2 linked regions of the Oryzias latipes genome follow. The protein of the gene in region 2 interacts with the protein of the main gene of each other region in a pairwise test. Links are inferred from orthologs where the notes say so. Each region holds a gene or a part of one and is shown on either strand. Other genes may lie near its edges.

The links.
Region 1: the proteins of kctd1 (region 2) and exosc1 interact in binary tests that used the Homo sapiens proteins (3 or more experiments, as listed by UniProt). The two-hybrid records come from large-scale screens. The link is inferred for Oryzias latipes from reciprocal best matches to the Homo sapiens genes KCTD1 and EXOSC1.

Annotation. Positions count from the first base shown.
Region 1 is NC_019859.2:28,382,461-28,385,642, reverse strand, and holds part of exosc1 (exosome complex component CSL4), read right to left. Parts: intron 2,970-3,182; coding exon 2,881-2,969; intron 2,814-2,880; coding exon 2,780-2,813; intron 2,715-2,779; coding exon 2,664-2,714; intron 2,590-2,663; coding exon 2,505-2,589; intron 1-2,504. UniProt on the Homo sapiens protein: Non-catalytic component of the RNA exosome complex which has 3'->5' exoribonuclease activity and participates in a multitude of cellular RNA processing and degradation events.
Region 2 is NC_019875.2:25,793,967-25,797,349, forward strand, and holds the end of kctd1 (BTB/POZ domain-containing protein KCTD1), read right to left. Parts: intron 1,780-3,383; coding exon 1,618-1,779; 3' UTR 750-1,617; downstream 1-749. UniProt on the Homo sapiens protein: May repress the transcriptional activity of AP-2 family members, including TFAP2A, TFAP2B and TFAP2C to various extent.

The sequences.
Region 1 (3,182 bases), on a different chromosome or scaffold from region 2:
TACCTGTCCGTGGGTCATTTGGTACCCGGCCGCACAGAAAGAATAACTTAAATGACTTCCGTTTTATTTATTTCGGAATCTGAAAGAAGTTTTATTTTGAAAAATTGCCCGATTCGACTAGAGAAGTTAACCGGAAGTTCTGTCGTGCACGACAGAACTTCCGGTTAACTTCCGTGTTTCGAGTGTGAGGCCGACAACTACCTGTTGGTCGTGTTAGTGTTGTGGGGAGTTTTGTTGAGTTGCTAGTTTTGAGTAAATAGGAGCAGATTTCGGGTAAAAGAAAGGAGTTTGGTGTTTCAACGCGTGACAAAGACATCACAACATTGTTGTGTATACCCGTGTGCGAATTTGTCAAAGTACAACAGTACTAATATAAGCTTTCATAGCTTTCCAGTATATGTGTCGGTGAGAGCCGAATGATGGTGAACACGGCGGGAGGACTTCACCCCAAACAAGACGAGTCGTGTTTCGTATTTGCAGCAATCGGAAAGAAAATACGTCATGTAAACACACCGTTCGGAATACTTTGCCCCGGTCAGACTCGTTTGGATCAAAATTTCTTTCCGATCGAGATAGCTGGGTATACCGATCGTTGTTCATGTAAACGGTCATTCCGATCGTGTGTCACTGCTGCTCTGGGTTACGTCATGCATTGACGGTGTTTCGCTGAGAGAAAGCTTTGGAGCTCATACGGGACCGACCAGCGGCTCTGCGGACGCCCCGCGTAAAGCGCCGCTCCGCTCTCGCCCCGCTGGGTCTCCCCTCTCTTTCACCCCTCACGAGGGAGATGCGGGGGGGGGGGGGGGGGGTGCGTGTCCACTGACGTCTGAAACCCAGCATCCGAGCTCTGCGTTCGGGCTCCGGAGCCAGTGGACCGAATGAACCTCTGACTGAGCAGATCAGCTGGATTTATTAATGTGTTTGAGGGGAGGGTGCTTTGTTACGTGTGCGTTTTGTTATGTGTGAGAATTCGGACTGCGAGCCGAGCCGCCGCTCTGGGTTAGCGGCTGCCGGACTCGCGAGGACAGAGCAGAGCTCGAGCGGCCAGCTTACACAGCCGTCACGGGGCAGTGTGTGAGCTTTACAGAGCAGAAATGCCGCTCAGTCCTTAGAAACTGTTCAAAAAATCACGACACATGGAATCGTGTTTCTAATTGTGCCCCGACAAATAAAGGCTGATGTTGTTAGCCCGTGTTGTTAGCCTATCCTAACACTGGGTTGTTCTTCAGTTCTGTTCTTCTTCCACAAAAAAAAAAAAAGCACTGACCACAAGGATTAAATATAAAATGATGATCGAACAGGCACTTCATAATATTCATAAAATTAATAAAAGCACGTTTGGAAGATCGCCTCGTATATTACCGAGCTGCTGCATAAATATGTGACAGCACAGGTTTGTTTACAACGGGACACATTTCCTTTCGGTATTTTGTACACTATATTTTTCGACACGATATTTTGCCCATGTAACCACGCACTGGTCGACAATCCTATAGATGTCGTTCACGTCGATTTTCGGGAGACCTTGTAGAAAACGGGTGAAATATGCCATCTTTCGCAATCAAAATCTGCCGTGTCGCTGCTATAGAAGTCGCAAGCCGGAAATGGTCGGCCTCACACTCAAGGCGGCGGAAGTAGAACTCCTTACTTTCGTGCACGGAGCCTATTCCATCCGTCTATGTCACTCTTGACGCAGGCCAAGGTTCTCTTCTCGGTCACGTGATAGGATCCCGCTAAAATAAAACCCAGGAGCTGGCAAAATTAGTAAAAAACAAACGTCTTTGGAAAGTGTGAAAAGGGGAAAAACGCCCAGCCAGGAGACAGAAGAGGAGCCTTTGCACCAGGAGTGTAGGAAGGGGAGAAGATGATGACACCTGAGTGACGTCCGTGTCAAAATGAAAGCACGGATTCTTCTTGTCATGCCTGCGCTTTAACTTCAGTGTAGCGTTGCTACAATAATTGTCGGCCACATCATATAGACCGGCCCGTGAAAACTTTGTATGACGTCATACCGGTCCGCGGCGTTAAAAAGGTTAGAGTTTATGTCAGCACAAACATAAAAAACTGAAACCAACGCAAAGCACACAAATGCCAAGACAAAATCAAACTGACAAACTCACACACCAACACATCCTAACACAAATGCTAACACACATTCACACACATCCATGCTAGAACAAACTCGCATGTTAACACACATACACACCAACATAAATCCTCATACAAATGCTAATAAATACGGGTGCATATAAATAACCCTTCTGTTATCTTGTGGGGTCCAGATGACACGCTATTCACGCACACACGCCAACTCTACCTCACACACACAAACTTGCACACATATGCGCTGACCCAAACACACACAGACATGGCTTTTCTTCCACATATGAGGGCAGGCGAGGACAGAGGATGACATAAATTCTATTTTGTAATATTTCGAACTCCCGTCTGACCCGGTGGTTGAACACCGCCGTCCCGTCACAGCAGGGTGACCGTGCGCTCACCTGCGTCGCTGTGCGCCACCACCACTCCGAGCTCGTTCTCTGCAGTGGTCAGCAGGTAGTTGGACTGAACGTCTCCCAGAGAAATCTAGCGTCAGGTTAAGGTCTGCCATGCCAGCTTCTGAGCTTTGTGCGCGGAGCATCAAGAAATATGAAGGATACCACTTTGGCCAGAACAATGTCCCCAGGTCTAAAGCTTCTGTGCATCTCCACCTAAACAAAGCTCAACGTCAGACCAGCAAGGACGGACGGCGCCGGGCCAAACGGATCTCGCTCACCTTATCTTTCTCTGTGGCGCGAACGTCTTCTTTCCTGAACACACAGAAGAGCGTCAGACAGCACTAAAACAGCCACATCTGCTGCGTCCACTCTGCCTCACCTGATGGTTCCTCTGAACAGGTCCTTGAGCGGCGTGGAGCCCACATACAGGATGTGCACTTTGGCGAACCTGGAATTGATGCTCGTCACCTGTAACATGAAGGATCTGACAATTAAAATGTGTGCTTGATGTACTCACATATTCAGACTAGAAGCTTCTGGGATTCAAACAACTTTCTCTGGCAGGGAGAAGTCCAGCATCTGTCCCACAAAACCTAACCAACTATGTGGAAAACATCATCTTATCTGCAATTTGGTGTCAGCTAAAGCTTTGGAAAAACCTTTGATTACATAAGTGCTGTA
Region 2 (3,383 bases):
AAGGATGAACAAATTATTTAAAGACTAGAGAAGGATCCCTGTTGATGGCTACCAACTGTATCGCAAATGCCTAACAAAACAAAGAAAGGAATAATTGGTTATTCATGACAACAAAGGACTGGTGTGCGAGACTGCAGTTGCACCTCTGGTCTTTTAACTTTTAGCTTTAAAGGGAATCTGGGGCAAAGAGGCCCAAAAGGGAGACATATAGCATAAACGGCAGATAGCCAAAGAAAGTGGAGATTCTGCCAAAAGGAACGGAGACAAGATGACAGGGCTCTGTGTGGGATTTCACTTTGGATTTTGGCCCTGCAGGAATATGTGGAAACACAACTGACAGAACTTGCTTGGAGAAGTCAACTCCATTCAATATAAGCAGTGTCCTGTGTAGTCTCCGATGCACCAACATAAACCTCCAAGGTAGAACACCGCTTGATAGTTTGCTTTACTTCTCTGGTTAAAAAGAGCTAAGAAATACCAAGACGTGAAAAAATGTGATTTCACAAAGGTCAAACTGATAAAAAAATGTGAGAAATCCGGAAAGTCCCGCATCATTTTCACACCCTGTAGATGTATGGAAAGTCTGTGCAGCACAGTAAAAAGAGCAGATGACAATTTTAGCCGAGATTTATTTCACATTTTTTTTGCTACATTCCTCTTAAAACTAGGGAGCGTAGGCCAGTAATCTTAGAAATACTTTATATACGTCATATCAACTTGATCATCAGAGAAAAAAAAAAGCGATCTTGTGGTTGGGTAGAACAATAACTTTTAATCTGTTCAGTCATGTCTTAGGCAACAAATTAGCTTTAAAAAATGTAAAAAACACAAACACATATACAATGAAAATGTACAAGACTCAAGGTAAGGTTATGATCCAATTAAATAAGTCCCAATGTTGCACATGAAGTTGAGGTTCATACCCCCCAATGAGGCAAATGGTGTAAAACATTACAAAATAATATCTTTTACTGCCTTAATCAGGAATTTAAACTTTGATGAAACTATTATCTTTTTTTTATTTCATGGCACAAAACATTAAAATAATCTCAACTAATGCAAAACCACTTCATTTGTATCACAATATAAACAATATTAACTGGAAATTCTTTTTGAAATGCATCATTGAAATCAAATTTTTATGACAATTGCAACACTATTTTATTTTAGATTAAATACTTGAAAACCAATTGGGCCAGTTTGTCGGTTTGACAACCAAATCAATCCACCAATAACAACCTAGTCAACGTACAACATCAGCAATAAAAGACTTAATTTATGTTTGTAAATTAGAAATTATATTCAACCTAATGTAGGCTCCAAGTTTTAAAATAAACTTTGTTTGGGTATCCAGCTCTTATAAATCCTTCGGAATTGGTTTAATGGGGGCTAGACAATCACAAATGTCCTTGCAATCTCAAACTTCTCAAATGTCTTGTATCTTCTCATGTCAAAAATCTCCTCTTGCACTTTATTGTTATTCCCTAGATGGTTCTTAAGTTTAAGAAAACTAGAACATCAACAAGGAAATGAAGAAAAATAGTCCACAGAGGTCTGTAGCGTCATACGTTTGACCGCGACAGAAGAGTCTAGTGCCTCCTACAGCTCGGGAGGGTTTTAGTCCAGCTGCTCCTGCTTTATCCTGTTTGAATTAGGGCCTCGCTGATTTGTTCTCCTCAGTTCCCTCCGCAGGACGTACTCGCTGAATTGGGATGAGTCCACGCCTCCACCGCAGGAGCCGGCGATCTCAAAGCCACGTTGTTGGAGACGCTCTAGAACCTGAGGATGAGACAGAAGGGAGAACCTGTGAGTAGGAAATAAAAGGAGGAGCAGAAGCCACTGCAACAAACCATACTTTCTTCTTCTGTTGCATGCATTGATTGTCACCGTTTTACTAAAATGATGACTCTGAAGGATAACCTTTTGTTTAGCATCTCCAGACTGGGAAACTGGGGATTGTACCAAACACCTCCAACACATGCTGTGGCTTGAGTGCTATGTCTGGAGCTGGAAACAGCTTTGAATGTAAGCTGCAGCAGCATATGCTTACTGTGTGATGGGATTTTGGATACGATTTTCACAAGACTTCCACGAAACCAAGAGGCTCTCACGCAGGTGAATGCTCTGTTCTCGTTGTTTTTTTGGGTGTACATGTGTGTTTTTCCATGTGCGTGTCTAGCTGTTCCTGATCTTGCAGCCTTGCAGACATCTACTAACGTGTCTGGGGGGGCTGTAGGATCACATTCCATCGAAGAGGCCCCAGGGAGCAGTGAGGCTTTTCTTTCTGCCACTTGGCTCAATATGGGCTGCTCTGCGAACACCCCTCTCCACAGATTCCCCCCGGGGTCCAAGCCTCCACCAAAACTACAAAGGTCCCCCAACTGCTGGCAGCTCTCTATGCTCCCCTTCCTTCTCTCAAACTCCCCCCGTCCTGCCTCCATTAGCCGCAGATACAGCATTCACCGGCGGCGTGCTTTAATAACCAAACAGGATTATGGGCTCTGCCTGAGGACAACCTGCCAGGGAGCATGCTCACTCTTTGCTTGCTCTCCACGACTCACACACTTCAGAGGCCGGTTTTGTTTGTGTGTTTTTGGGAAGGAGGTGGAAATTTGACTTCAGATGGCAACACAATCCAAATCATTGTGAAATCTTTCTAAACAGGGTCTCTCCTAATCAGTTATTGATAGCTGTCTGAGGTTATTAACATCACTGAATTAGCAAAATATCAATATATTAACCAAAGTAGGGTCATTGCCAAAATGCATGCTGCTCAGAGCCTGGTTTAAGAGCCAGAGAGTGTTTATTGGTACAACACAATTTCTAGATAGTCATCAAGGAAAATTTTGCTGAAGGTACTCCCTTAAATGTTTGCTAATTTTCATTTAGGTGCAAATTACTGTTGATCATTTGGATTTTATGAAGATAGGAAGCAATAGATAAGAATAAGCATAAAGAAGTTTGATGTTATTCTAAATAATCATCGATTCAAAGACCCCTCGGGAGGCAGTATCTGTTTTTTTCACATTTTGTAGGGGTCCTTGTGGCTCATGTAGACTTCATTCACTCAATTCTCATCAACAGTGCATGAGCTAGGGACAAAACCAGCCCTTGCAGCTTATTTTGAGGACTGAAGCTTAGTGCGGACACACAGGCATGTGACGCACTTTAAGAACGCGCTATACGTGGGTTCTTTAAAGTGCGAGTAGCCCACTGTATTCACATTGGACAAGCAGGGAGGGGCTAGCACATGTCCTTCACCTACAGTTAGTAAAGGCTTGGTGAGAAATGTCAAAGTGGTGCAAATCTCGCAAATCTTTCTCCAGGCTTTTTCTTTCACAGCTCTATTCCGACATATAAAAGACTTGGTGTCATAATTTCAC